Linked DNA regions of Lepisosteus oculatus. The protein of the gene in region 1 interacts with the protein of each later gene in a pairwise test. Links are inferred from orthologs where the notes say so. Each region holds a gene or a part of one and is shown in the gene's direction. Other genes may lie near its edges.

What was found.
Region 2: the proteins of zyx (region 1) and tuft1a interact in binary tests that used the Homo sapiens proteins (3 or more experiments, as listed by UniProt). The link is inferred for Lepisosteus oculatus from reciprocal best matches to the Homo sapiens genes ZYX and TUFT1.

What each region holds. Positions count from the first base shown.
Region 1 is NC_090718.1:2,071,957-2,087,718, forward strand, and holds the start of zyx (zyxin), read left to right. Parts: upstream 1-4,770; 5' UTR 4,771-5,141; intron 5,142-5,179; exon of another isoform or gene 5,180-5,389; intron 5,390-7,609; exon of another isoform or gene 7,610-7,993; intron 7,994-9,314; 5' UTR 9,315-9,319; coding exon 9,320-9,548; intron 9,549-10,197; coding exon 10,198-10,418; intron 10,419-12,364; coding exon 12,365-12,460; intron 12,461-12,975; coding exon 12,976-13,743; intron 13,744-14,237; coding exon 14,238-14,358; intron 14,359-15,152; coding exon 15,153-15,322; intron 15,323-15,762. Other genes in the region: fam131bb (protein FAM131B), read right to left, coding at 121-211. UniProt on the Homo sapiens protein: Adhesion plaque protein. Binds alpha-actinin and the CRP protein. Important for targeting TES and ENA/VASP family members to focal adhesions and for the formation of actin-rich structures.
Region 2 is NC_090722.1:5,739,488-5,754,805, forward strand, and holds the start of tuft1a (tuftelin 1a), read left to right. Parts: upstream 1-8,454; 5' UTR 8,455-8,501; coding exon 8,502-8,756; intron 8,757-9,660; exon of another isoform or gene 9,661-9,760; intron 9,761-10,594; exon of another isoform or gene 10,595-10,619; intron 10,620-10,664; exon of another isoform or gene 10,665-10,890; coding exon of another isoform or gene 10,891-10,983; intron 10,984-11,692; exon of another isoform or gene 11,693-12,893; coding exon of another isoform or gene 12,894-12,917; intron 12,918-13,128; coding exon 13,129-13,206; intron 13,207-13,447; coding exon 13,448-13,549; intron 13,550-14,101; coding exon 14,102-14,188; intron 14,189-14,741; coding exon 14,742-14,813; intron 14,814-14,898; coding exon 14,899-14,994; intron 14,995-15,318. UniProt on the Homo sapiens protein: Involved in the structural organization of the epidermis. Involved in the mineralization and structural organization of enamel.

The sequences.
Region 1 (15,762 bases):
CTCCGCGACCCCCCCCCCCAGCAGAAGATGAGCATCTGCCCCTGCCCCGTTTCCCCAGTGCTGGCTGGTACCACACCCCCACCCACACCCCCACCCCCCGTTCAAAGGAAAAAGCCTTACTCAGTGTTCTTGAGCCAATGCATCCCATTTTAGTGGCAGTGGAGGCCTGTGCACAACCTTCGGAGAGCCAGCAGTCCAGTCCCTCTCCCATTCATCTCTTCCTCTCTCCGTCTCCCTGCGTGCCTGTCTCCGTGTGTGTGTGTGTGTGTGTGTGTGTGTGTATCTCCGGGAGAGAGCGTGTGGATGTGAGAGGGTGTGTGGATTCCTCTCTCTCTCTCTCTCTCCTCCTCCTCTCTCTCTCTCCCGGTGTTAATGTAGCGGCGTGCTCAGCCAGTCCGGTCGCCGGTCTGCGCCGGGTGCTCGGCCACCCTCTCGCTGCAGTGCCAAGAACCGGCTCCCAGCTCGGAGGACGGAGAGAGGGAGGGAGGGAGGGAGAGGGAGGGGAGAAAGAGGGGAAGAGAGAGAGAGACGGGGAGAGGAATGGTGATAATGATAAAAGGCAATTAAATCTCTCGGTGCAGGCAGCTGGCTCAATTGCACTTCGGATCCCGATTCGGCTAATTGGTATTATTAGTGGAGTGGCTGGGCTCTGCTCTTCCGGGGGGTCGGTTGTGCTAGAGCAGTGAGGGGATTCTCCTCTCTCTCCCCGTCTGTTTTACAATGCAGTACAGCTGTTTCCCTCCACCTCTCTCTCTCTCACTCACACACACACGCGCGCGCGCACGCCCGCGCTCACACGCACACACACTCTCTCTCTCTCTCTCCCCCTCCCTCGCATTGATCCGGAATCGCAGGGCTGTGAGATTGTATTACAGGGTATTCCTCAGTCGCTCCGTGTGCCTGTTTGCGCCCCTCCCTCTCCTCCCCCCGGGCTCGTCTCCCGCTCCCTCTTTCCTCCCCACTCCCTTCCTCTTCTCTCTCTCTCTCTCGCCGTGCTCAGATCTCTCTATCAATTCCATTCAGCTCAAGGTGCTTCAGTAGCGGGGCCGATGGGTACAATCAGCGCTGCCGAAGCAAATGAAAATGAAGTTAACAGGAAACCCAACAAAAAATAGAAATAAAATACATTCGACAGACATTTACAACAAAGACATATCATAAAATATTTACATATTGAGCATTACTGTGAGACAAGTTCACTGTTCCTCAGGCTGGGACGGGAGATCACGTACTCTCTCTCTCTGTTCTCCGTGATCAATCTCTCTGTGTCTGTCAGCCTGTCTCCCTGTCTCCCTGTCTCCCTGTCAGTCTGTGTGTCTGTGTGTCTGCCTGACTGCCTGACTGCCTGTCTGCCTGCCTGCCTGACTGCCTGTCTGCCTGCCTGTCAGCCTGTATGTCTGCCTGTCAGCCTGTCTGTCAGCCTGTATGTCTGCCTGTCTGCCTGTCAGCCTGTCTGCCTGCCTGTCAGCCTGTCTGCCTGCCTGTCAGCCTGTCTGTCAGCCTGTATGTCTGCCTGTCTGCCTGTCAGCCTGTCTGCCTGCCTGTCAGCCTGTCTGTCAGCCTGTCAGCCTGTCTGTCAGCCTGTCAGCCTGTCTGTCAGCCTGTATGTCTGCCTGTCAGCCTGTCAGCCTGCCTGCCTGTCTGCCTGCCTGCGTGTCGGCGTGTCTGTCTATCGGAGCTGCAGAGGAGGGAGAGGGGGAATGGAAGAGGACACAGTCAGCTCTGAGATGCGAGGGCAGATGACACTCACACATGCACACATGAATCACCTCAGACACACACACACAGACTGTGGGTGTCAGGGACGTATTATGCATTCACACTAGGAGAGGCAGGGAGGGGAGGGACGCTCAGAGACATACTAAACAGATAAGATGCTGTGATGCACAGATTAGCATTCTGCTGAGGAGAGGCGAGGAGAGGGGGAGGGGGAGTGCGGGAGGAGAGGTGTTCTGAATTAGAGAAGGGCACTGAACCCAGTACTGCTCATAAGCCTCCCTCTCTCTGCCCCTTCCAATTGCCAGAGCTGCTCTGGCATGACCGACGAATTACTGCCCTGCCAGCTCAAGGACTCCGCGGGAACATGCTTGCAGACATTTCGTTAAATAACACAATATTGTGATCTGAGAGGCTCCCGCTCTGTCTCAGGCTGGGACAGGAGATCACACACTGGGCTGCAGCTCTGTCCAGTTTCCTCTCCCAGTAGGACTGATCCTGGCAGGTGTGGGAGCGCTGAGATTTGGTTTGTTATTTGTTCGGAAGAAGGTTTCTCTAATCCCTGTGTGTTTCTCCCAGCACAGCAGGAAGTGCATCTCTGTCTCTGCTTCTCCCTGCCGGCAGGGAGAGCACAGTCTGTCCTCTCTGGACAGCCAGGTCTGCCGGTGTCCAGTTTCTCTGTCCAGGCTGTGGTCACTGAGCCTGTCCTCTCTGGACAGCCAGGTCTGCTGGTGTCCAGTTTCTCTGTCCAGGCTGTGGTCACTGAGCCTGTCCTCTCTGGACAGCCAGGTCTGCCTGTGTCCAGTTTCTCTGTCCAGACTGTGGTCCCTGAGCCTGTCCTCTCTGGACAGCCAGGTCTGCCGGTGTCCAGTTTTCTGTGGTCACGGAGCCTGTCCTCACTGGTCAGTGAGTGTTTTAGGTGATTAAACTGCTGTAGCCGTGATATTGTGGTCTAAGTATTCGAGTGCATCAAAATGTTGTTACCGTCTAACTGGTATTGACTGGTAACAGTGTCCACAAACCACACATAAGTGTTTTTTCAGTGTCTGACACTGATAGACATAAAAAATGGCTTGAGAGTGGCGTGGGTGGACCAGTAGGTGACGCTTGATCCTCTGGGACACAGTTGCCAGTCCAGTGCCCCAGTATGGCGATCAGGCAAGATGTTAAGCCGCAGGTCTGGACTACTTGTTCATTAGAGATCCCGTTGGCTCTTTGTTGTAAAGTTAGCCCTGAATTCAACTGGAGAATTAAATTCTCTCCTCGGCCCCTGACCTGTTACACAGTGGGGCTGCTGGGTTAACTCTTATATTAAATATAAAGGCGTTTTAATAGACGTGGTGGCAGTATGGCCAAAATAAGAGAACACCGAGTATTTCTCCTCCTCCTTGTGCGCCTCCTGTCGCACCTGTGCGCCTCCTGTCGCACCTGTGCGTGTTTTCAGAAGATCGATGGCGCCGGTGCGGAGGCGGCGCTGCCGCAGACCGCGGGGGTTGGGCGGAAATGTGTCGCAATGCTGCGCTCTTGTGGACGCGGCCGGTATTGCGCCGCGGCGGACGCTCCGGAGTCGAGCCGTCCTCGGAAGCCTCCGCCGCTGGGCTTGAACGTGCGGCTGGCAGGGCAGATGCTTCTCTCCCGGGGCGACCTCCAGTTCCGCATTACGGGGCCAGGACCGCGAGCCGCCGAGGGAAAGAGTACGACTTCTGAGCGATTGCGATGAGAAAAAGCAGCTTAACAATCACCCAGGCCGGAGGAGTACGAGTACTTGCAATTCCATGAAAGAGAAAACATGAGATACTAAAGAGGATGATAAGAAAGAGGAAGACACAACAACAAAACCATGTATTCACAACACATTCATGGGATCCTGATCCAAGTTCCCAGCTGAAGATGCCAGAATAAAACTATAGAAACGATGGATCCGGATTCCTGGAAAGGGACAAGGGAGTGATGAGCAGAGTCCATGGCAGACCGGCGCCTGCAGGGGGCGCTAGAGAGACAGGCAGAGAAGAGCAGCAGAGGGGTGGCTGGAGACAGGAATGAGACACGTATGCTGAAGAAACAGGGCGTGAGTGGGGTCTGCTGAGGATATCCGAGGATTCAAGTGGAATCTGCAGGAAACTGTTTTTTTTTTTAAAGGAGAATGAGTTAGGGGGGGAGGGAGGGCCACTTCTTTACACAAAGGGTGGTGGGAGGGTGGAACAAGCCGACACCCTGGCTTCTCTCAAGACACGGCTGGAGGAGATCCTCCAATCAGGACAGCACGTACTTCTTTACCCAAAGAGTGGTGGGAGGGTGGAACGTCTTAGCACTTCTTTGCACAAAGGAACAAGCTACCTGGCCAAGTTGTTCAAGCCGTGAGCCTGGCTTGTCTCAAGACCCAGCTGGATGGGACCCTCCAGTCGGGACAGGAGGCTCTTCTTTACACAGAGGGTGGTGGGGGTGTGGAACAAGCTGCGACCCTGACTCCTCCCCAGACTCAGCTGGATGCGAAGCTCGGAAAAACAAACGACTAACTACCAAACGGGTCAGGTGGGCCCCTCTCGTTTGTAACCGGTCTCCAGTTCTTCTGAACCTCCCCCCAAAAAAAACAGAGAAGCAGCTGGGCCGTCTCCCTCGTCTTTCTCGGACAGCGGATGTTCGGCGGGCTGTGGGGGGGGGGCGGGGGCAGTGTCCAGCGGTCTGCTCCTGAAGGGATGAGCTCATATTGACTCACCGTGTGCTCATCCTCTCTCTCGCTCACACACACACACACACGGTCTGCCTTCAGGGACTCGTGCTGCGGGCCGATCGGCCTGTGTTACCCCCCCCCCTCGCTGTCTGGGGGGAGCCGTGCAAGTCGGGGCACCTGCACTTCATCAACCCTCACCTCTGCCTGGGGCGCGCGCGGGCGCACACACACACACAGCCCTCGCTCTCTGCCTCTGACCTTACAAGGAAGTGCAGGCAGAGCGCTGATGTCATACCGTGAAGAATGTTGCAAGAATCCAAATTAAGAGAGAGGGAGAGAGGAGGAGAAGGGGGGGAGGGGAGGAGAGGGGGTGGAGAGCAGCAGGGGGGCAGGAGGAGGGAAGGAGGTTGATAATCCCGATGCACAGTTAACACGGGCTGCCCAGAGGGCGTGGGCCCCTCTGCCTGCCCTCTCTTCCCGGCGAGAGGGAACTTGTTGGGGCGCTGAGAGAAGGAAGGAGCGAGAGAGAGAGAGACGGGGGTGTGGAGAGGGAGTGGTGCCACAGCTGTGGCAGCGAGAGGCAGAAACAGAGGGAGAGGGAGAGAGAGAGGGAGTTCAGTACAGGACCCACCAGGACGGCGGCGCAGCCCCCCGACCAGAGAACAGAGAGAGAGGAGGACGAGTTCGCCGGTGTTTCAAGCCCCCTAGGCAGCCAGCAGGCAGAAGAGAAGAGTCTTGAGCAGCCTGGCACAGGGTAAGAGAGTGAGAGAGAGAGAGACGAGCTGTTTAACGGGCACAAACGCTAGTCAGGACAGGCTCGGCAGCTGCTGCCGGCCGCCTCGAACCCCTTGCACAGCGTCGCCGTCCTGCCGCTGTCGCGGTTTTTCCCTCCCCCCCATGCCCGGCTAGGCTGGTCAGAAACGCGCGGCAACTTTATTTAGCGAGCCTCTGGGTGCCACATCTGGCAGGACCCACACGCCAAGCAACTGTGGAAGTCAGAAGGTGTGAATCCCGGGACTCGATCACATAGAGAATGCATGTTCATGTTGTCAAGTGTTTACACCGCTTGCTTCAGTTCTGCGTCCTAAACCCTGTTACTTCCTTCTTCTCACTGTGTCCCCTGTCCTGCTGCGTGTGCGGATTACTTGGCGATTCCCTTTAACCTTCTTTAAAATGACTGATACTGGACATGGAAAGAAACTGACACTCTTGCTACTAAATGGGAGACTGGCTGAGAGACAGATATATGCACTATCTGTAACTTGCAAGCATAATGCACGACCTAACACTGATATTGATGTAGAGCGAGCTTGTGTCAAGTACACTGACACAGCCCAGTCACAGGGCTCTAGACTCTTCTAGTCCCTGTGGACACGCTGACACAGCCCAGTCACAGGGCTCTAGACTCTTCTAGTCCCTGTGGACACTGACACAGCCCAGTCACAGGGCTCTAGACTCTTCCAGTCCCTGTGGACACACTGACACAGCCCAGTCACAGGGCTCTAGACTCTTCTAGTCCCTGTGGACACACTGACACAGCCCAGTCACAGGGCTCTAGACTCTTCTAGTCCCTGTGGACACACTGACACAGCCCAGTCACAGGGCTCTAGACTCTTCTAGTCCCTGTGGACACACTGACACAGCCCAGTCCCAGGGCTCTAGACTCTTCTAGTCCCTGTGGACACACTGACACAGCCCAGTCACAGGGCTCTAGACTCTTCTAGTCCCTGTGGACACGCTGACACAGCCCAGACACAGGGCTCTAGACTCTTCTAGTCCCTGTGGACACACTGACACAGCCCAGTCACAGGGCTCTAGACTCTTCTAGTCCCTGTGGACACACTGACACAGCCCAGTCACAGGGCTCTAGACTCTTCTAGTCCCTGTGGACACACTGACACAGCCCAGTCACAGGGCTCTAGACTCTTCTAGTCCATGTGGACACACTGACACAGCCCAGTCACAGGGCTCTAGACTCTTCTAGTCCCTGTGGACACTGACACAGCCCAGTCACAGGGCTCTAGACTCTTCTAGTCCCTGTGGACACACTGACACAGCCCAGTCACAGGGCTCTAGACTCTTCTAGTCCCTGTGGACACATTGACACAGCCCAGTCACAGGGCTCTAGACTCTTCTAGTCCCTGTGGACACTGACACAGCCCAGTCACAGGGCTCTAGACTCTTCTAGTCCCTGTGGACACACTGACAGCCCAGTCACAGGGATCAAGACTCTTCTAGTCCCTGTGGACACAGTGACAGCCCAGTCACAGGGCTCTAGACTCTTCTAGTCCCTGTGGACACACTGACAGCCCAGTCACAGGGCTCAAGACTCTTCTAGTCCATGTGGACAGAAAGTAACATGTTAGACAGTAAATCACAAACGGAGAACCTTGTGATGAAATTGATTCCAGTATGAGTTTTAGTTTAACACATCATTTTGTCTTGTCTTAATTAACTCAGACAAAAATGGAAAACAATTTAACCTTTTTTTATCATCATTGTAGATTATTTTCTTGAGCATTTTATCATTGTTAACTAGAATGAAAAGCGGGTCCTTGAGGAACATTTTCACCATAAATGTTGTCAACAAAATGAACACCGGACACAACCTAGTCATAGTGCTCTAGATTATGTTTATTTATACTGTAGTATAAATGAATATTGGAAAAAATAATTTGATTAAATGCTTGATGCTAAAGAATCTGATCCAGACCAAAAACAATGTAAGACTATCCAGACTTTCAATACGTGATCTAAATATTTTTTCTCTTTTTGGGCACAAAGAGCAAAAAAGAATTAAAAAAAAATGTCCACACACCCTGATTGACTGGACACTACAGCACAGAGACACTGACTGACTGACTGGACACTACAGCACAGAGACCCTGACTGACTGACTGGACACTACAGCACAGAGACACTGACTGACTGACTGGACACTACAGCACAGTGACCCTGACTGACTGACTGGACACTACAGCACAGAGACCCTGACTGACTGACTGGACACTACAGCACAGTGACCCTGACTGACTGGACACTACAGCACAGAGACCCTGACTGACTGACTGGACACTACAGCACAGTGACCCTGACTGACTGGACACTACAGCACAGAGACCCTGACTGACTGACTGGACACTACAGCACAGTGACCCTGACTGACTGACTGGACACTACAGCACAGTGACCCTGACTGCCTGGACACTACAGCACAGTGACCCTGACTGACTGACTGGACACTACAGCACAGTGACCCTGACTGACTGACTGGACACTACAGCACAGTCACACAGTGAGAGCTCTGTGTGTTAAAGTTCGAGAGTGCTGTGACGAAACCCCAGTTATCAGTGGACTGACGTCACTGCACAGGAAGCGGCGGGACCCCGAGAGGTGCGGCCGGCGCTGTTAGATGCGGAAATGCGGAAGCGCGAGCCGGAAATGTCTTGGTGGTGGGGGGGGCAGAATTGCTGAGAAAAAGTTCTCTCAGCAAAGCTATAAAAACGGGAGCTGAAGCGATCGGAGAGGAAGAGAAATCCCATTAAGCCGGGACAGTTACACGGCAGACGAAAGGCACATCTAGTGGGAGATACACGGCAGTTCCATGTGAGTTTAAGCCGCTTTTCGTAACATATAGACACATACCTCAGTTTCCCCCCAGCTTAGTTCTTGTTAATCCTTACGATTTGTGCGTGCAATCGCCGTGGTGGAAACTATCTGAAGTGATCTAGTTATGAATACTTTTACTGTTACTAGCTAGCGGTATCGTGAGCCATCGAGATGCGTGGCGTCTTTTAAAACACGAGAATGAACTTGTTTGGAGAAGCATGCATACAGTAGGAGCGTTGTCTTCTACGTTCAGTGAAGTTATTTTTCATTCTTAATCCGCCTGGCAAATCGGTTCTTGTGTATCTGTGTACAGTTTCTGTCTTTTAAACGGGTACCTGGACGTTGCTGGGTGTTGTTGCGGAGTTGCGCTGACTTTGCGGAACAGGGACCCGCTGTCTGACCCCGCCCGAGGTCGGAGCTGCACAGCCGGGTTAATAAACGGTCGTCACCGCCCGTTATTGTTCTCTCGTGAATCCGTAACATCTCTCTACCGGGCCGTTATGATCCTAACTGAACATAAGGACAGTTACTTCACGGGGAGAGAGAGAGAGAGGAGTTCGTGTTCATTGACCCGAGTCTCTCTTCCGGCTGTGTCTGTGTCCAGGCTGTCGGCTTCAACAACGTGGCTGGAGAGCTTGTTCCACTCTCCCGCCACCCTCTGTGTAAAGAGGTGCCCCCCCCCCCTATTCCTAGTCTCTTGGGTTGAATGTATCGGTGTCTTTGCGCGTATTCAATGCTTTTGTCTTGTCCCCTCATAGTCTTCTCTTTTCGAGATGACAAAGGCTGAAATAATGGAATGTGTCTGTTTGTTTTTTAAAGGAAAATAGTATTTCAGGAGGGTTATTGTTTGGCTTGTATAGCATCGCATAAGCTGTAAGATAGCTAACAACTGTTTTGTTAGAGATTTATCACTGGCAGACTGACTGTCTGGCAAATATGTGGTTTGTGTCCTTGGATGTCTCTCTCTCCCTGCGTCTGTGTGATGTTTTGTCTTCCTTTCCTTGGCAAAGTTGTAAATATGCTCCCTGATTGCGTGTGTTAATATATTGCAGTGTCCAGTCTAGTATATTGACATCCATCCCCGTCTCTCACACTCCCTCAGCACTGACACGTTGTGGAGTTTGGTCACTGATTAACCAGCTATATTATCGCCACTCTCTCTCCCTCTTGTTCTGCAATTCCTTATCAGTCTGTATTAGCCCCACTGTTCCACTTCCTCTGCAGTTCTCGTACAACGTATGCTGCAGTCGGAGATTGCTCTGGGGTTAGTTCTGTGTAGGCCGCCATTGTTAACCTCTGCCTCTCTCGTCCTCTGCAGTGTCCATGATGTCCGACTCCAGCAAGCCAGTGATGGTTAGCTCCACCCTCACTTTTAATGTCTCCGCCCCCTCCTTCTACAATGCACCAAAGAAGTTTGCTTCTGTGGCTCCGCCCCGCCCCAAACTCTCTTCCACCCAGTCACAGCCTTTGGCCAGTCATACATCGGTGGCCAGCACTGCTGTGATTGGCCGGGTGGGAGAGCTGCCCCCGCCTCCTCCCGCAGTGACAGAAGGTAAATAGCCTTCTTGTGTTCTATGTGGATCGTGATGGGGGAATCGTGAAATGTTTTGTAGGAAGTAGTATTATAGGTGTGATAAACTAAAGGTAATTGCATGATGAAATGTATAAAGATGAAGAAAAAAAACAGTTTTGACTGTAGAACCTTCTTCCAGTATTTGATTTAGATGGAGTTTGTAAATTCATATGAGCTGTAGTAATCCCACTGAGCCTAAATCACTTTATTATTAACTAAAACTATTTGTTGCATTTATCTGATGCCCCCTTGTGCTGGCAAATAAGGGTTGAGCACTGATTATATCTTCAAAATGTACACTAGTAACGTAGTGCTGTGTACAAAATGTACACAGCACAGTCACACTTACTGGAGGAGCTGTGTCTCTCACTGACAACACTGAGAGCCCCACTGTGCCCCCAGCACAGTCACACTGGCTGGAGGAGTGGTACAGCTCTCACTGGACTTAACGACAGAGGTCCTGTCTCAAACTCGGCTTTTTGAAGCCGATACTGAGAGATTCATAAAGAAATAGCTGGGTATGATCCTTGGAACAGTATTCCGCTTGCAATCAGACAAGCGTCTTGGATCAAATGACCAACCTGTCCTCATTTGTCACCTGAGCTCCGTTTCTCCCTCTGTCTGTCAGAATTCCCTCCCCCTCCTCCACCATTGGATGACTCTGACCTGCCAGCCCCACCCCCAGAATATCAGACCACACCCCCCGCGTCAGAGGCCCCACCCCCTGCTTTTCCAGAACCCCCGCCACCGCCCCCTCCTGAGGACATCCCGTCGCCCACCGGGGCAGAAAGCAGCCTCCCTCCTCCCCCACCTCCTCCTCCTCCGCTCCCTCCAGCCTGCAATGCTCCGGTGAGTGTACCAGTCTGTCCGTTTTCCAGCTGCCTCCTCCAGTTCGGGGTCTTGGAGGGAGCTGGGGCCTGTACCAGCAAGCAATGGGAGCAAGGCAGGGTACACCCTGGGTGGGATGTCAGTCCATCACGTGGCACACAGACACAAATTCACACACAGGTTTCCCTCAAGGCTGTTGACCTGCCAGTATATTTCTGGACAATCTCAGAGCCAAGACGGGTTTAAAGCAATGCTATGGACGACTGACCCAGTGGTCACACTGTGATTGAGCAATTCGAAAAGATCCAGTGGACAATCACCCTTCTAAGAACTTTATATCACTTGCTAGAGCTTTTATGTTATGTTAAGAGTTGCACTTTTTGTTAAAGATGTATATTTGGATTGTGGGAGGGATCCCGTGCTGACGTAGGGAGAACATGCAAACTCCACCCAGACAACATCCCAGGAATTGAACCCCTGTGAGGCAGCAGTGCTCTGGAGAGTCCGGTTCAGTGTACATTTCTGTGCTGCTTGGCTCCAGAGTCACAGGCCGTGACGCAGCAGTGTTTGTAGTCCAGTCCAGGAAACAACAACAACAACAACAACAACAAGGAGAAGCAGCTGCCAGGAATACCACAAGATCTAGTAGGTTCTCCCCCATGTCTGTTAGAGGGGCGACGTTAAGGATTTCCGACCTTTTCAGCCATGTAGGACTGGCTGGGGTTCCGAGATCCTAAAGGACACGGCTCGGGATTTTTCGGGAAAGGAGTCTCAGGAACTCGGGATAAACTTTTTTTTTTTGTGTGTGTGCGCGCGTGCGCCACTTCGGCGCGCGTGGGTGGGGAAAAAAATCAAAAAGTCACCCGAGAAAGTTGGGCAAGTCTCCGATTTGTCATCCTGTGTCTCGGGAGTTCACGCAGTCTTCGACCTCGGTTTCCCGAGCGCTGGAGTCCGCTGCCCGTATCGCATGCTCGCCTGGCTGGTACTGCTTCTTACTGGTTCCTGCGCCACTTAGGTCGTGAATCTGCCCCTGCGTTTTCAGACCCTAAATTTAAACGGCGCCCTGCAGTAGAAACAAGCCTGGACTAGAAAGCAATCATTCTTCTGCTGCCTGTGTTTTTGTCTCGTGTGCTCTTTGGCTCACTTTGGACACATTTTAACAACATTGTACTTTTGAGGGCCTTTTCATTTTCTTGGGCTGGTCTGGATCTTTTTTTATATATGAAACTATAAACCTGCCAGGCAGTATAGTGTGGCCATATTGTCTGTAGTTCTATTCCCCCCCATAAACTGACCAGCTAATGTGGTGCAGTGGTCAGCTTCTCTGCCTCGCAGTGCTGGTGCTGTGGCTTCAGTTTCTGGGGTGCTGTCTGCGGGCAGTTTGCGTGTTCACCCTGTGTTCACGTGGGTGTCCTCTGGGTGCTCTGGTTTCCTCCCACAGTCCAACGACAGGCCGGTGGGTTAACCTGTGTCTGTGCCCTGTGATGGACTGGCGTCCCTCCCAGGGCGTGCCCTGCCTTGCGCCCGTTGCCGGCCAGGATAGGCTCCGGCTCCCCCTCGTTGACGAATTGGATAAAGCCATGAGGAAATGAGCGAAACATGGGAATGGGAAACGGATCGGACAGAGCTCTGGGTTGTTTACGAGCTGCTCGATTTGCAGTTCAGCTCCTGTTTTGCATTGGATGACTTATTAAACTTAAGTCATATGGAGGCCACCTATAAAACCCATTTTTGTCGCACTGATTATCGCGATCGCCGTTATAGTCTGCTTTATAGGGACCGGTCCCGTCGGCACGGTCAAGGAAATTCTGCCAGACCTTCCTGGCACAGATGTAATCGAGATGATTCCACGACTTGTGCACTCGAACGGCTCGTGGAATGTGTTTTTTTTGTCTCGTGTGGCGAGTGATTGAGGCCCAGACGCGGACTTATCCGCCTGCTTTTCTGTCTGTCTGTCTGTGGGGCAGAGGAGCTTCGAGAAACAGACCAGCTTTGATCGGGAGATAAACTCGCTCACCAGCCTGCTGACGGAGATGGAGACCAGCGGGCCGTTCAATCCCAAGGTGAGGAGCGGGGGGGCAGGGAGGGAAACAGCTGGCGGTACTGCTGCGCCGAACGAGACCGAGAGCCGGGGTGTGGCGGTGAATCAGTGCGTCTGAATTAAAGCTCCTTCCTGTCTCTGCTGTGTTCACAGGTGTCCAGACTGTGACAGTATTCAGGGGTTCACCCCTTCACCTAGAAATCTGTGTGTAATACTGTGAGTCAGTATTGTATCAGCACTTGCGAAGCTCAGCTGACTTGGTGCAGAGCTGTGTGGGTTAAGAGTTGTGATTCACTTATGAACAGTGACACACAGTAGGTAGGTAGATGGAGGGGGAGGCAGATCTGTATCCTGTGCCAGCTGCTTCAGGAGAATTCCAGATCGGAGGAAGAGAACATGGCAGAGTTAGTGCAGGTGTACTGACTGGACTTTGCGTCATGTTGACTGACTTGGCATTACTTCAAAGTGAGAGTATCCATATACGATACAGGACTATCACCTGCTGCTCTTTCTGAATTTACTTTTCTTCCTGTACAGTTGCCGAGCACATTGCCAGCTGAACCTACCAAGGTGCCCCCCAAGTCGTCGGGCCCTCCGCCCACGGCCCCAAAGCCTCCCCTCTCCTTCCTGCCCCCTGCTGACTCCATGGACCGCCCACCACCTGCTCCCTGGGCCCAAGAGCTGCGGGCCAGGCAGACGATCAGAGAGACTGGACCCCCGGCCAATCAGGGCTCCTCCCCGGTTGTCCGTCAAGCTCCGCCGGCCAATCAGGGCTCCTCCCCGGTTGTCCGTCAAGCTCCGCCGGCCAATCAGGGCTCCTCCCCGGTTGTCCGTCAAGCACCGCCGGCCAATCAGGGCTCCTCCCCGGTTGTCCGTCAAGCACCGCCGGCCAGTAAAGGCCCCTCCGTGGCCCCGAAGCCGGCTCCCACTTTCGGCGTCGGCATCTCAAACAGTCAGAAACCAGCCTCTGCAGTGGGACCCCCCTCCAGTAGTTTCTCCTCTCTGCCTGCTAATAAGGCCTCAGTCAGTCAACCTGCCTCAGCAAATAAGGGCTCTGGACCCGGATTTGTTGGTGTCTCCACTCAAGGCGTTAGTCAGCCCCCGCCAGCCAGCAAGAGCGCACCTGTGACCTCGGTCCCCTCTTCCACTGCGTCCATTTCTAGTCCCCCATCTTCTGTCAGCCAGCTGGCGTCGGCCAACAGCAGTGGCTCTCCAACTGTGAGCCAGGCTCCCCGATCCAATCAGAGCTCTCCGTTTGGCGCTAAAAGTTCCCAGAAGCCACCTGTGGGAACAGGAGGTCTAACCGTAAGTGTAAAAAAAAAAAAGTTTCATTCCATTTAAATGAGTAACGGCTTAACCCATGTCTGAATTAGCTTTATTAGGTAATTGAGCTTTATTGTGAAATTTCCTGTTGTTGGAAATGGTTTTGCCAGTTCCTATATATACTCTGCAGCTCACAACTGCCAGCCCCCTGGAGCTCAGCAAGTGTGAGCCTGGTCAGTACCTGGAGGGGAGACTCCTGGGAAAGCGCAGGTTGCTGCTGGAAGAGGTGTTAGTAGGATCAATAGGGGGCGCTCACCCTGCAGTCTGGGTGGGTCCTAATGCCTCAGTCTAGCGATGGGGGGGCACTTTACTATAAAAAAGCCACCGTCCATCAGTTGAAATGCAAAACCAAGGTCCTGACTCTGTGTTGTTAAACATTTTGAATGGAGCGTGCAGAAGAGTGCTATATAAGTGTATTATTATAATTTATTTGTATTAATTATTGTTATTATAATGCCCTGTCTCTCTCTCTCAAGTCCTCTGTCGCTGGCTCTGGGGCTCCACTCTCGATGAGGGAGGTGGAGGAGCTGGAGAAACTGACTCAGAGGTTCATCAAGGACATGGAGAACCCTCCTCAGATCCACGCTCCAAGCACAGGTCAGCACAGAGTCTGTTCCACTGCCGAACAGGCGTTTTCCCATGTCGTCCAGTCTCGATCCGGGCTAGTGCTAGTGTGCCTATTCCCGGCCGATCTGTCTCTGATCTCTGTAGAAAACTACATTTCCCACAGTTCCTCCTCTTCTGAATAGGAGGGGGTGGGGCCTACAGTTCTGAGTGATGATGGGAAATGTAGTGCTGGTGTCCATGTGGGGGCAGCGTCTAACCGACACTGGTTGTTCTTCTCTTGGTTGGCAGGAGGGGACGGCTAGTCGCTAATTACATCCACCACATTGATCTCTGCGTTTATAAGCCCATTGAGAGCCCTGTGTGACGGTCTGTGCTGATGGCTCCAAGCCAGGTTGCACCTTCAGAGGCAATGTGTTTGTGTCTTTTGTTCACTAGTTACTTTCTTGCTGTTGTTTCAGCTCAGGGTGATCAGGATTTCATGTATGTGCATCCTGTTATTGTCGTGTTCCTTATTTTGGACCCAGCCGTAAAACGGATCTCCCCCCCCCAGCTGAAGGATAATGAAGCTTGAAGTGCTGTTTGCGTTCTTGGCAGCTGCACTTTCAGTGTTGTACCACTAGAGGGCGCTCTAGGCAAACTGGCAAGTCAGGGGGGGCGAACAGGGAGCTGTAGACCCTCTGAAAACTGGGCCACATTCCTAAAAGAGGCCTAAGTTCTGACTTGAGAAGGAGTAGGTTATGTTTTGAGGGAATTCGAATTCCAGTGTTTGTGAGGCTGTGGCGTGTGTCTGTGTGTGTAGCGCTCTCTTCTGGCTTCCTCCTCAGACTGCTGCGCCCACTGCTCGCAGCCCCTGTCGCGCTCCCAGCCTGCTGTGCGGGCCATGGACAAGCTCTTCCACTCCGAGTGCTTCGTGTGCGTCAGCTGCTGCCGCACCCTGCAGGGCCTGCAGTTCTACGACCTGGGGGGCAAGCCGCAGTGCGAGGACTGCTACACCGTGAGTGATCAATAACTCATAATCAATAACTCACCTGGGGGGCACGCCGCAGTGCGAGGACTGCTACACTGTGAGTGATCAATAACTCATAATCAATAACTCACCTGGGGGGCACGCGGCAGTGTGAGGACTGCTACACTGTGAGTGATCAATAACTCATAATCAATAACTCACCTGGGGGGCACGCCCCAGTTGGAGGACTGCGACACCGTGAGTGATCGATAACTCATAATCAATAACTCACCTGGGGGGCACGCCCCAGTTGGAGGACTGCGACACCGTGAGTGATCGATAACTCATAATCAATAACTCACCTGGGGGGCACGCCCCAGTTGGAGGACTGCGACACCGTGAGTGATCGATAACTCATAATCAATAACTCACCTGGGGGGCACGCCCCAGTTGGAGGACTGCGACACCGTGAGTGGTCGATAACGCAT
Region 2 (15,318 bases), on another chromosome or scaffold:
CACAGGAGAGGGTTAGAAACAAGCTCACACTGTGTAACACTCACGCTCACACACAGATGCACTCGTGTACATACACTCACATTCACTTGCACACTCGCTCACACACAGATGCACTCGTGTACATACACTCACACTCACGTGCACACTCGCTCACACACAGATGCACTCGTGTACATACACTCACACTCACGTGCACACTCGCTCACACACAGATGCACTCGTGTACATACACTCACACTCACGTGCACACTCGCTCACACACAGATGCACTCGTGTACATACACTCACACTCACGTGCACACTCTCACACACAGATGCACTCGTGTACACACACAGTACACTTGCACACTCGCTCAAACACACTCATGCACTCTCTTGCTCTGACACGCTCACACAGATGCTCCCCTGGAGCAGGGTTGTATTAAACTCGCAGGTGGGACAGGAATTCCACGAGTCGAGTCGCATCCTTGCTAGGACCAGGGTAGCCAGCTGTGGACTGAGGGTCTGTCTTCTGCACCCCTTGCTTTCTCTCTCTCCTTCTGTCCCTCTCTCCGCACTCAGACCACGAGACCGTAACCGAGATTTAGGCTTCCTCTCCGTCTCTCTTGAATTCCCCTTTCGGGATTTCGGTGTTGGATGTGCAATTAAGGGAATGAGATCAGGAGTCCCAGCGGTCATGTGGGGGTGGTAAAACTGAACTGGAGAAATCCACTGGTGCTTCATGCATGCGCACACACACACACACACACACACACACACACACCTTCTCTGCGGCACCCTTTCTTTTTCCAGTGTGGGGGGCAGGGCAGTGGCCTGCTTTCCGAGAGCTCCGGATCTCTCTTCCTTTAGACAGGATCGGATTTCGCTCCCGTCTGCAGAGCGGCAACCCTGAGGAACGTTCCCAGAGGAACGTCGCAGCCGGAGGGAGGCGGGTCACGTCACTGCCCAGTTTCCCGGGAGACAGGGGAAGGACGCACTGCACCGGGAGCTGGTTTGACATTTTATTTTGTCGGCAGGACCCGTTCCAGGCCATGAGGGGCACACTGTGTGGACTGTGCTTTACACCAAGAGTGGCGGGTGTACAGAACAGTCCGCACAACCCAGCAGCCGGAGCCCGCTTCTTGGGATCCTTTAAAAAAAGCTAAAGGGAAAAGAGACCTGCAGACTGATCAAGCTGAACAGTGCTCTTAAAGATGGCCTACACTGTAATAATAATAATTATAATAATTATTGCTTACACTTATATAGCGCTTTTCTGGACACTCCACTCAAAGCGCTTTACAGGTAATGGGGACTCCCTTCCACCACCACCAATGTACAGCATCCACCTGGATGCACTTTTACCCTGATCTAACATGGCTTTACTGCACTGTACTGTGCTTTTACGCTGATATCATTGGGCTTTACTGCACTGTACTGTGCTTTCACCCTGATCTCACTGGGCTTGACCGCACTGAGCTTAAATGTCTTCTTGTCATTTAGCAAAAGCTGTTGTTGTGCAGCAGAGCACCATTAATTACCAATAAGCTGTGATCTCTTAATTGGCCTTCTGCCTGAGCCCGGATTAGGCCTCTGGCAGGCCGGCACAGGAGCACTGTGGTGGGGAGGGGTAGAGAGATTGTGAAGAGCAGACTGTGTGCTGTGGTCATTCCCGCCAGCACTCCTTCACATCGAGGGGACCAGGGTGCTCGGGCCCCATTCCTGCTGCGCCCCCTGTCTTCGGGGCGTTGATTCCCCCCTGTTCTCGGGGTTCACAGCTCATCTGATTATTTAATGAGGTGCAGAACTTTAACCCCTCGAGCCAGGCTGCGTGCTGACTTACAGGGAACTGTAGATCTAATGGAGCCTTGTGTCATCAGAAGTAAAAGTCCCTTATGTGTCTAATTTAGCAAAGAATCCGGTTAATTTGGTTAATTGACTACCCAGAAGCCAGAAGGGACCAGACCGTACCTGACTGAGCTGCGGTCTCTGGTCCGGAGTCAGGGCTTCACCAGAAGACACTGTCAGCTCTGCCCTCGTCTGAGGCTTGACATATCTCCGTCAGGCCTGTGCTCATTACAGACAGCTGACTGCTTCTGTTCCCAGCCTGCTGCTGTTCCGGTAGATGTGCCCTGTAATTGGGATAATTACAGCCTGTGTGTGGTGGGAGCCAGAGTGGTTTTCCCCAGTCGCCCGAAGCTGGAAGAGTGTCCCGACATTGAATTCCTCGGATGTGTCCGCATGGGATTATCAAGGCGATCCTGGGTTTCCTCTGGGAGCCTAGGTGTTTATTTTATGGATACATATGTTTCATGGTTCGCAAAAGCAGGCGTTTTGTGTTTTTACATGTGTAAAACACGTCTGTGCGCAGAACACCTCAGAATTAAGTTCCACAACAGACATTTTAAACCTGGCCTCGGAAAGCGTATTGCAACAGCCTGACTGCTGTCAAAAAATACAGGTAAACCGCTTTTAATTGGAACTGTAATCCCCCGCCGACTGTGGGACATAGACGCATTAGTCATCGCCTTACAACAAGTCATTAAATTACAATAATATAACAATTAGATAAGCATGGTTATTCTAATCCGGGACGTCGGACTCCCGAGTTCCCTCAAGCGGCGCGCAGGTGCGCGCACTCCCGGCCTCGCGCTGCCCGGAGCAGCTGGAAGGGTGAGGTCACGAGGACAGAGAAGCGAGACGGGGAGGAAAAAAAAGCTGCTGCCTTCGGAGAGGCAGAGTTCGCGAGCCCCCAGGTGACGTCAGGCTCCTGGAGAGAGAGAGGAGGGGGAGGGAGCGGACGGCTTTATTCATAAACCTCAGTCTTCGGGAGAGCTGCGGCTTCAACTTCCAAAACAGCTCAGCTCAGCGGGACGAGCGGCGCTCTGAACTTCCCAGAGGGGAGAGGGAAAGAGAGAGGCTTTGGTCCAGGAAGTCAGAGACAGACCCCCCGCACACGGGGCCTCGACCTTGCTGTTGAACACGGGCTGGTCCGCCCGCCCGCCCGTTTCCCGACGGGGGCTGGTTTCTCCGGGCTCTTCCCCCGGCTGCGGGTGCAAGGATGAGCGGCGGCTCGCGGAGTCTGTGCACCTTTGAGGACCTCAAGGCGGACGGCGGCTTGGCGGTGAGTGAGCGAGCAACTTCACCGATAAACAGAGCGCCGTGCGGGGAGCTGGGGCTCCCCTCCACCCCCACCACGGGGAGGCACCCCAGTATGTCCCCTACCAGCGCACTGGCCCGTGTCGGTGTGTCTGCCCGTGTCCGCAGCTCTTTCCAGCCCGGCATTGTTCCGCTCGCCTTTGTTCCTCACCGGGAGGCATTAAAAATGCAGCAGGCGTCACGGGCGGCAGAATATCATATTGTTGGTGCTGGTGTGCGATCACGTCAGGCGCTTTTGTGCCTTTTGTACTTACTGGAAAATGTGGGAAGCGGTCCTGTATCGGGGCATCTGCTGTGATGATGCTGTTGTCCAAGTGCTGCTCGTGTTTCTGGTGCTACTTTTCTGACGGAGAGATGTTACATGTTTTTATATATATATGTGTGTGTGGTGTTTTGCCAATCTCCCTCTCTCTCTCCCAGGGTCTCGAACTTTTTTTTTTCGGTGCTCATTACCCCCCCGTCCGCCCCCTGTCTCTCCTTGGGCGAGGGTACACATCGAGCCGAAGGATTTGTTTTTTTTCTTAAAAATAAATTTTAATTCGCCATAAACATCTCTGAATAAGCACACACTCGTGCAAAGTGATGCAGCCTCTACTGTGTTACAGACGTTCTTAAAAGCCTGGTTGTCCTGTCTCAGTCCGCAAAGGAACAAGTAACAGGTTTATTCCCTGCCGAAAAAAAAGAAGAAAGAAAACGCAACGTTTCGGCCGTGGAGCCTCCTTCAGGCGTGCACAGTGACACCGTCCCTCCGAGCCCTGCCCCTTGCCGTGTCCGTGTGTGTGTTTTCCCTGTCCCGGCTGTGAGACTCCGGTCATCCCGCGCTTAGAGACGGGTCTCCAAGGACATAGTTTTCCTCCTTAGTCCTTGTCGCGCCAGCGAGAAAGGCTTTGTGCTTTGCCGAAGGTACTAATCGCGACAAAGGCGAAATGTGAAAAAACTTCACGTGGCTCTTCGGCTGCTGTGTGGTTGTCGTTGCCACAGCGCTGCAGTCAAGCCGAGTCCCGGCTTCACGGGAGCCACCCGAGGAAGCGAGAGGTCGTGTCGGGGAGCGGGGACTCCGCCGAGTCCTGTAACCGGCTTGCATTCTGGAAGGATCGGCGATCTTCCTGTAGATATGAGCCTACGGCGTGTGTGAGACTCTGCCGTGGGGTTGGGGGAAACACCCGTGTGGAATATTTCTGTCCCTGTCAGTTGGCTCGAGAAGAATTCGCTCTTCTCTCTCTTGTCCTTTGTTTGCGTGATGTAGAAAGTTTTCGTCAGTGTGCTTCCCACGAGAAGCCGGACTTCACTCCACTGTCTGGGGGTACTGATCTAACCCAGTGGATACCCAAGATCTTCTCCCGTTCAGGAGGGGACCCCCTGCAGCCCCACTGATGGACCCACAGCAGCCTCACTGCCCCACACAGATCAGGGGCAGCGGAGAGACACTGCAGGTCCAGTTCGGACCGCGCAAACCCGAAGTGGGGTTCGGCTAAAACGCCGGGGCTGCTCCGCTTTTTGACGACCAGCTCTGGGGTCGGTACTGAGCAAGCAGCCAGGATCTCAGCCCGGCGTCCCGACTGACCCCCCCGGGGGCCCTGCGGGGGAGTCCCACGCCTTTCGCCATTCCTGAACTTATATGTATATGTATGTAACTGGTACAATGAAACTCTTCTAGAAAAGGAAGTCTCTCGATTGTTAAAACAAGTGTAAAAACACAAAGCGCAGACAGTGCGTCAAGATAATATACAAACAAACAGTAGACAATGTACAAGTAAACAAAACAAAACATAATATAGCAGGTGGCACTGGACAAGGCCATCGTGCCTTCCGAACAAAGTAACGTGTCTGACTGCAGAGCACAGCTTGTGCTCGTTGATCGGTGTTATCACAAGGACAGTGAGTGTCCCCACCCCCACCCCCCGCGGTGAGACAGATAAGACTTCTGCCTTCGGCTTCGAAAAAAGGCCCCGTCCTGTCCCGGCGTTCAGCCGGGTCACATTCGCCTGAAGAAAGTAAAACCTGTTCCTGCACTTGATTTCAATATGGAAAGCACGTCTCTTATCGTATTCGCGGTTTGTTTTTTTTCCTTCACGAAGCGATCGCCGCTCTGTCGCTCTCCACGCAACCCGCGTCCTGAGTGGGGTTGCGTGAAAAGCACTGGACAATAACGCGCGCCGTTCCCGCTGTTCATTTTCATCCCGGGACCGCGGAATGGCTGGCATGGCGAGCCAGCTTGTTCCACACTCCCACCACCCTCTGTGTAAAGAGATGCCTCCCCTGTTCTTGGTTTCAAATGTCCTTCCTCGCGGATGAATCCGAAACGTGTTTTTCTGAACCACTTCTTAGGAAGGAATACAGATCTATTTTGATTATAACCGTGATGATTATAACCATCGAAGGTCAATGTAAATGACATTTAAAAGCCAGCCTACAGAGAGAGTAACTTGCTCTCCCTCCGACTTTAATATTTAATTATGGTTTTGTTTGGAAAGTTGTTACTCGAGTTCCCGTCACTGAGCTGTACTGCACTGTACTGTGCTTTTACCCTGATCTCACGGGGCTTTACTGCACTGTACTGTGCTTTTACCCTGATCTCACGGGGCTTTACTGCACTGTACTGCGCTTTTACCCTGATCTCACGGGGCTTTACTACACCGTTGTGACCTTGAACCACTGTAAACAATAGGGTTGCCTACAGTACTGTCCTGGTGTGCCCACATGCTTTGTGTGTGTAAAGGATCGAGTTTCTTTTAGAACAATACCCGACGTGTGATTAGACAACCATAATTACAGGCTATTTTTGACTATGATGTCAAGCAGCCTCTCGGTAAGTTAGCTATATATGTCTTTCAAAGATCCCTGCTGCCTTTCAGCTTTTGGAGTCAATACGAAAAATACAGTCACTCGTTTCTTTGTGCTCTTGCAGTATAAAAATCAATGAAGTGATCAAGCAGGAATGTTTTTCTCTTCGCCAGAGCTACAAAATTGGATTCCTTAAAATTCTTCTGCCGGTTTGAAGAATTTTCCTGTTGATTTTTTTTCCAAAGTTTCCCCCAGACAGAGACCGAACCACTGTGCTGTGGTTTCATTTCCACGAGATGGGCTATCGAGGGAAAACTTGATCCTCAGGCCAAAGGGAAGAGGAGAGGCAGCAGTGTGGAGGAGCGGACAGGGGCTCTGGACTCCTCCCTGGGAGGTTGCGTGTTCAAATCCCAGGGTGGGGGCACAGCAGCTGTGCACTTGAGTAAGGTCACCAAGGAGAGGAGGATCTTCGGCCTCTCCAGCCCGTTCGGTAGCTAGCTGGATGAGATCTTGGGATTAATTAACTACTGTTTCTGGAAAGAAGGCAGGGCATGGGCTTCAACACCACGCCTAGGCAGCGTGATCCACACCCCCACCACTCTTTGTGTAAAGAGGGGTCTCCCGGCCCCCTCCTCGATTTTAAAAGTTATTCCAGATAGTGTTCACTTGTGCCCCCAGGTCCGCTGTGTCACTGCTCATTCTGAAGTGGCATGTGTGTGTGTGTGTTTAATGATATCCCGCCCTCCCCAGACTGCTGGATGTATGCGCTTCAAGCCCCAAGTGTCGTCTTTTGTCGCTTGTAAATCCTGGAGCATCAGCGTCGCACGCACATAACTAAAGTGACTTCATTTCTAATGACTTGCTGTTGTGAATCCCTGCGGGGCGGGGCGTGGGGGGGGGTAATACTTTTAGAAGGATGACGCACGACCGCGGGGCGCTGTTTGCACAGCGGGCTGAGCTCGCGGTCAACACCTCAGAGCGCTGTAAAATGGCGTGAACGCGCAGTTTTACAGCAGTGGCGTTATCTCCGATCGCGGCCCAATAAAACCATTCAAACAGGCGGGATCACGGCTTTACAGCGCCGCTGCGCTCTGGGTTAACAGAACAAAACCGAACCGGTTCTCCCCCGCGGGCTCTTAAGACCGGAACGCCGAACCCTTGCTCGGGGTCGCTTCTGTCTCGGGTGGGAAAATAAAACTTGTACTGCAGGGTGCGAGCCGCCGCGAGCGAGCTCTGAAATCCGTGCGTGTCAGCAGGAGAGACTCACACGGGTGGACGGGGCCTTCACAGGGGTGTAGCAACACGACAGGTCATGCAAGAAATGCAACGGAGTGCAATTCGGGAACAGAAATTGTTCACACACCTGGAAGCTGAGCAGACTGCAAGTACAGTGTAGCCAGTTGCGGCAATTAACGTAAACTTTATTGCATGTATCGATGCACTAACACTTCTTAAACCCGCAAAAAAAACTTTTTTTTTCTGTGTATAAGAGCACGTTTACACGGTGAAACTTCCAACAGGGGTGAAACTGGCTTCCCAAAACAGCCTGCTGTGTCCTTAAGAGTTGAGTACCGTCTGTGAGCCCTGCCTACGTGTCCAGTGTTGCTCTCGGAGTTGAAGGATCTTGTCTCCTGACAGCGGACTCCTGACCGCGCGTGTATTTACTGTGGGAAAGGCTCCCGGCGTGGAGTGGAAGAGGATTAAGGGTTCAGAGCAGCCGCGCCTGCTCGCGTGTGATTTAGGGACCGAGGGGATATTCGGATTATCTCAGGACTGTCCTGCTGCCGCAGGCGCCACGGGAGATGTCCAGGGTAGTGTCGCAAACTTCCCCTGTGGGTTTACCACGCTTGTACCTCGTATTTACGTTGATCACCTGGTGTGTCAAACTTTATTTACCACATTTTTTTACCATAGCTCTTTGCTTTATCGTCACTGTGCTTTTACCCTGATCTCACTGGGCTGTACTGCACTGTACTGTGCTTTTACCCTGATCTCACTGGGTTTACCGCACTGTACTGTGCTTTTACCCTGATCTCACTGGGCTCTACTGCACTGTACTATGCTTTTACTCTGATCTCACGCATGTGGGGAAACAAGGAAAATGTCTCAGCAGTGTTTGTACTACATGCAGTGTATAGAACACGCGTGCGTGGGTCACGCCAGAGTTTTGAGTGGGCCCTCCTGCAGTGTACGAATCAAAAGGAGACCGTTCTTGCTGCGTGCGCGAGTGTCTGGAGGAAGACGTGAGGTTGAAATCGGTATCTGCGCTCGACGCCCTCTCGGTTCGGTTATTTCCTCCGATGACCGGGACGGGCCCAGGGTGGAGTGGAGGGGGGTCCTGTTCTCCGGAGACGCGCTGCCTCTTCCTCGGGTTCAGCGCTTTTCCAGCCTTGGTTTGGCCAAGATGAGATTTTTTGTTGTTGTTGTTGTTGTTGTTGTTGTTTTGGTAAAATGTGCGTTTCGAACCCGAGCTGTTTCGGGCTTTGGCGGCGGTGGGTTATTTTGAAAGACCTTTTTGTCAGGAGGAGCCAACAACCGCTTCACAAATCGGCGCCCGCCTTCTGCGCACCTCGGCTTATATGGCCCGGCCGGAGGGCGCGCTGACGTGTCCCGCTGGCGGCGTCAGAGCACCGTGCCGGAGCACGACCTTGACTGCCGCCGCGCTAAGCCTGTTGAACACTCCTGCGGAGGGGGTTCGGCATCGCTCACGGGCAGTGCTGCTGAGCCCGTCCGCCGAGGCCCGTAGTCACAGGCAGGTTTCCGGGACTGAGCGAGATCGGTGGCCGAATGGAGACGTGGGTACGAAACGGAAGACGTCCCGAGACTCGGTCTGCGTGAGTGTCATTGGACTGCGCTGCAGATAATGGGTCCGTTAATGGCTTAAAGGACTTTAATAGGCCTGAACCGCTGGGCAGCTTGTTCCAGACTCCCACCACCCTAAGTGTAATGAGGGGCCTCCTGTCCTGCTTCTTACCAGATCTGGGTTTAATGTAGGGACATAAACAGAATTGGGCGCCGTGCCTGCATATCTAATCCAGCGGGGGGGGGGGGGGCGACCTGTATGACCGTTACCGCGGACAGAAATACCCTTTTATGAGTCCAGGCTGAGGCCGTCTGAGTTGAGCCCCATTGTCCAGCGGCCAGAGCCTGTTCGTACTGCGCACTGCGACCGGGTGTGTGTGTGTGTGGGGGGGGAATTGTTCGGCTGCTTTTATCTTTTTTTTTTCACGTGTTGCACACAGCAGTTTATGCAACTTTCGAGTTGTACCACGTGGCACTGATGTCCATATCACACCCTGAGCGCCTTTGCACAGACAGACAGGTGTCTCGGGAGGCTCCAGCGCGCGCCAGGAACATTCCACACCGCGCTTCCGTCTGATTGTATATTTTGACCCGCCCAGCGCGGTGTCTAACCAGTCCGTGTAGCTTATAAATCTGTCCTCTCGGTCTTCCAGAGAACCTGTGAAACCCGAGCCGTTCAGAAATAAAGCAAAACCCTTCCAGGAACGCCAGGCACGGCTGTTTTTTAAAAGGGCTACCCAGAAAAACGCCGTGCCTCTTTCCTGTGAAAACCAGCTCCCGGATCACCTCCATGGAATGCAAATACAGCAGAAAGGAATGCGGCAGAGCAGGGGGAGCTGACGAGGGGTTAATGATTTAATGAGGTAACTTTATTCCTCATCGGGTTGCTAATGCGCCGGAGGCCGGAGGCGTGGCGCGCGGGGACTGAGACGGGGAAGATGATGATGAAGAGTCATCCGCACGCGGGCGGGCTGAGGGAGCGGAGGCAGCCGAGCGCGCGGGGGGATCCGGGGGGACCCCGAGCAGAGCGAGGCGGGTAAGCGGGGGGCTGTCGCGTGCCTGCGTGCCCGGCCAGGGGACAGGCGCGTGTAACTTCGGGTGTTGCCGCGACGTGGGAGCGAGATTATCGCGCAAACTGGACCCCCGGTAGCGCGTCTTTCTCCTCCGGGTCCGACAGCGCCTTCCAGCTCGGGGACCGTGCAGACAGCTGTTGACATCTGGGCCCGCCGCCGCCGCCGCCGCACCAGTTAGGGGCTCCACACCCATCACTTGTCCAGTTAATAAGCAACCGCCTAACAGTGTGGACTATTTCAGGGGTTTTTTGATCCTCCTAAGTGTATATGGCACACATCATTCTCTGTCGGCCGTAAGCCGCCGTGACGCTTGTAGCGGGAGAATGAATACTGTTAACGTTGGTGGGCGCTGGTCTTGTGTCGACGCGGAGGTTAATCCGAATCTGCAGTCTTTCCAAACCGCCAGCGGCTCATCCCCCGCTCCCGGCGCGGCGCTCTGGAGAGTCCGGGCTCGGTCTTAAAGGACCAGCAACCGGGAGAGCGTGCAGACTGGACATCAACATCCGGTGTTTGGGGGAGGGGGTCCGGTCCAGAGGACGGGAGAAAGAGGACTTATCGATCAGAGCTTTTCGGTACCGAGCCACCCCGCTGGAGTGCGGGCCGGGAGCGCGCTGGAGAAAAGTTTATTGCTAACAAGTCCGTCAGACCCGGGAGCGCGCGGGTCACCGGGACTCTGCCCGGACCGCCGGTACCGAACCACCGCCGAGACCCACACCTTGGGCGTGTAGCTCGCGTACGTAATGGGTGGATTCTTTCCTTTGCTTTGACTAGACAGCACGGCAAGTCCAGACGGGCGTGTTCATCTCACTTCCAGGATCAAAGGTGGGGGAAAACAAAACTATTTTGTAGTTTCTCCTCAGAGCAGTGTGTGTGTGTGTGTGGAGGACGGGGTGAAGCCAGGGTGCTGACCCCGTCACTATGCGGTGCCGGGGTTCGTTTTGGACCAAGCGCCGTGGGCCCGAGTTCGGACTGAAGCCCGCAGACAAACGCAGTCCGGGTTACCTCTCCGGGCGGCGGGGATGAAAGTTTCATATAATTGAATACAATAGCGAATGCACAACACGTGACTGTGCGATAAAGGAGTTTTTGTTTTATGTCCGAACGGACGTGGCCAGGAACACGACAGGACAGAGAAGACGTGTCCGAAAACCGGGCGGAGGCTGCAGGGCGAGGTTCCGAGGCGGAGGTGTGAATTTCTTCAAGGGCGGGGGGGGGAGGGCCCCAACACTCAAGAACTTTAGAGGGATAGATAAGACTTTATTGATCCCGAAGGGAAATTGCATGATCTGCTTATCAGCATTATCTGCTCGACCGCTGAATTGCAGGCGTCGCCAAAGCTCAAACTCCGGACCGGGCGCGTGGTTTCGCGATTGACAGGACGCGCAGATCTCGGGGTAACCCCGACCCCCCTCCAGCTCCGAGAGTCTCCGTGACAGCGCTGCCGACGCAATAGCAATTAGCAGAACAACTGCGACAACAAAAAAAAATCACATTACTGTCCACCTCTCCCGTTCCTGCTGCTGCTGCTAAGCGCTTATTTTACGACCCCTCATCGTCAGGCTTTAAAGTTTAATCTTGGCAGCTCCGGGCCTCCTCTCGTGAGAAGGGCTCGTTAAGCTGACAGGCGGCGGGCGCGGTCGCTAGGCAACCCGACTGACAGACGGGACCGCCCGTGCGTGATCGTGGCCCCGTGCGCGCCCTGGGGGAGGGCGCGCGTTTGTTCAGCAGCAGAAGCTCTTACCTGGGGCAGGGGGCTGGAACAAGACGGACCAACGGCGGTGCTCTGCTTCGCTCCGGGGGGTCCCTGCAGTGCCCAGCCAGCCCGGAGGAGACAATCTCACCAGTGCACTCCGGCTGTCGGTCCCAGCACAGTCACTCGCACTGTGGGGAGGGGCAGGTCCTCTGTGGAGTCTCTGACCGCCCAGAGGTTCTGGGGAGAAGGGGAGACCCTACTTTTGTCAACACGCTGTACAATCTGTACTGCTGTGTACCCCAATTTTCACCCCCTCCAGAAGACCTCAGAAAAGACGTCCTTAACGAGCAAATAGGTTGAGATGCAGGGTTGTACAGTAAGGAATTGGCAGCTGGCAGGTGTTGAATGTAGACAAGTGTGGAGCGGCACTAGGAGCTGGCGGGGTCCCAGACTAGTGATGTTGTCCCCAGAGGGGGGAACCGTGTCAGAAGAGGCCGCTTATGAAAAAGACTCGCGTGTGTAATTTGATCCATCATTTACATCTTCTAGACAATGGAGAAGCTGTGAACAGGCAAGCGCAGAGCTAGGCTGTTTAGTCAGAAGCGTAGAATGTAGATCAATAGGATGTTGTTAAAATGGAATAACACACTGGTACTGGCTCATTTAGGACTATGCTCATGCTATAGGAGAACATACTGCTGCTTTCAGTCAAGAGAAGAGCAACTAGATACATTCTGGACCATTAAGAGAGTGTCCCACACAGACAGGCTGGAGGAACAGAGTCTCTTCAGTCTGAAGGGAGTGTCCCACATTGACAGGCTGGAGGAGCTGAGTCTCTTCAGTCTGAAGGGAGTCCCCCACACTGACACAGGCTGGAGGAACTGAGTCTCTTCAGTCTGAAGGGAGTCCCCCACACTGACACAGGCTGGAGGAACTGAGTCTCTTCAGTCGGAAGGGAGTGTCCCACACTGACAGTGGCTGGAGGAACTGAGTCTCTTCAGTGTTGACTTGAGCAGACTGGAGAAAACGGGGTCTTGTTCACACATTCTTCAGGATGAACCATGAAGCACAAACAAGTGGAAATGATGAGGAAGTGAATTAAAAACCGAAAACAGGAGGCCCTTCCTTACACTAAGAGTGCTGGGTGTGTGGAACGGGTGCTGAAGCCCCTACCCTGGTTTGCCACAGGGCCGGGCGCGCTCCTGTTCGGACACGTCTCCCCCGGGACGGATGAGCGCGAGACGATTACACAGGCGCAGCAGAAACAGCTGTTCGGGCGCAGCCGGCCAGATGTGGCCAGACGCCACCGTCGCCTGCGGCTCTGGGGGCTCCCGCGGCGCCCCGCGATCCCGACGCCGGGGCTGGGAGGGAGGGACGAGTCGGGAAGCCCCGCGGGTCGGCGGATGACTAACGCCAAACATTTGCCGGTAGTCAGCGCCGGCCTGTCCCAGCATGCCGCAGACAAAACCGTTAAAATTCCTGCGGCTGGCTCCAGCCTCTGCTGTGTGTTTGTCTTGGGTGTTTTGTTTTCGACATTATCACGGAAACTCCTTCACAGGCAGGTCAGCGGATCTGCCCGCGCTCTCCCTGTTTCTCCCTGTCCCTGTGCTGCACTGACTCCCTCTGCTCTGGTTCCAGGACGGAGTCCGGACCGTTCGACTCACTCTTCAGGACCAGAACCGGGCCGGCTTGAACCAGGAGCTGCCCAGGGGCAAGGTAACAAACGGGCCGCCTGAGGCTTCGCCGAACCTGTTTTTTAAATGTTTTTTTGTAGCTCCTTCAATCAAAGCGCTTTCCAGATAGATATTTAAGTAGAAAAAAAGTAACAAGTGCGAGTGCGTCTTTCAGATCGCAAACTTCACACTGTCCTGTGAAAGTCCGGTTTGATTCAAGTCCCCAGTCCTCCCTCTGACTGCCCCTCTAGTCTGACATCTGTCCCACCCTTCTCCTTTTCCAGCCAATCGGCAGGGCCTTTGCGCTGGTGCAGTCGGCCAATGGGAGAGAGCCCCTGAACTTTGAGCCAATCAAACCCACCGAGGAGAAGGTCGAGGTCATCAAGGTGGGTGTGCGGGGGACAGAGAGAAGGGGGGGGGGGGCAGAGGACAGCAGGGTGCTGTGTGACCCCCCCCTGGGAAAATGACCTTGATATTGCGGGACAGCGCAGGGGTCCTGGCCTCCATTCCGGCCCCCTGGGGGAGGGGGGTGCTATCCGTATGGAGTTTGCATGTTCTCCCTGGGTTTGTTGTGTGGGTGCTTCTCTGCTGTTTCCACCCACAATCCAAAGACGGGCTAGTGGGTGAATTAACAGATGGACTGGTGTTCCGGTCCGGGGTGTACCCCGCCCTGCGATGGACTGGCGTTCTGGTCTGGGGTGTACCCCGCCCTGCGCCTGGGGCTCGCCGGGATAGACTCCGGCTGCCCCCACACCCCGATTTGGAAGGAGAGGTGGGGAACTGGACAGAGAGTGGAGATGGCCGAGCAGCTTGGCCCAGTCAGGGCCGTGTTGCTGGCTGCGCTGGAAGACACACACACACACACACCAGGGGGCGTACCCCTGCGGAGAGACTCGGGGTGGAGTGTCGCAGGCTCAGACTGCTCCGTGCTCTTGCAGGTGTACCTGGAGGCCCGGAGACAGGACCAGACGCTGCACGACGAGAGCCTGAAGATGCTCTCAGACGAGGTCTCCCACATCCAGGAGGTAAGGGGGGGTCCTGACTGCCCCTCCGTTCCGCCGGAGGGTGGTGACCTGTGGCCTGTGGCTCCTGGCCTCTGTGTCTTTGTCTGTTTCGTGCTGTGGGCTGTTTGTGTCCGGTCTGGTCTCTGAGTTGTTGAAGCTGAGAGTTATTTAATGGTGTTGTTGTGGCTGCTGTTGCTGTGTGTTTCGGTTGGTGACTCCTTGATGTCTTTGTATTGGAAAATGCATGAGAATAAGCGTTTTCATTGCACTTGTACATATGGCAAATACTCTGGACTCTAGGACACCAGGACCCTGACACCAGGACCCTAGGACACTAGGGCTCTTGACCATAGGACACTAGGACTCTTGACTCTTGACACCAGGACCCTTGGACACTAGGACTCTTGACTCTTGACACCAGGACCCTTGGACACTAGGACTCTGGACACCAGGACAATAGGACTCTGGCTCTTGCAGTACGCTGGTGCTGGAATGACGCCAGCCTCGCCTCTGGCAGTTTCCTTGGTGGGTTGGAGCAGCATCGCTTTAGTGCTATGTGTTTTGCCGTGTGCAGGTGCGGTACTGCCTGAAGAGCCTGAGGCAGCAGATGGCCGCGAGGCAGGGCGGGAGGAGCGGGGAGCACAGGGTAAGTGTCCGCGGGGCCTGGCGGCTCGGTCACTGTCCGAGTGGGGGGGTGCCTGGGAAGAGACTGACCGCTCTCTCTCTTCCAGTCCCCAGCTCAGAGCCACGCCCCCCAGGCCGACCTCCCGAGGCATCAGTCACCCGTCTGCAGTCCCACCCTATCTGGATCCGCCCCCCCGACACAGGTGAGAGAGCCGCCTTCGCGCATGGAAGTCCGAGGCAGGTCCGTCCGTCCGTCGGGCACGAGCATGGAGTCCGGCGTGTGCCCTGGCTGCAGTAACTGTTTCAGCCAGTGCTCAGGGCTGGGGGTGGGGCCGTCTCCCAGGAAACGGAGCCCTGGGTATCGGTTGTCTCCCAGGAAACGGAGCCCTGGGTATCGGTTGTCTCCCAGGAAACAGAGCTCCGGTAGTTCCATCGTCTCCTGGCCCAGAGAAGAGTCTGGAGTTTTCGGTGGGATGGGGATTCTAAGGGAGGAGGCCTGTCTGGGAGCTGATCTGGGCTCCTGTAGG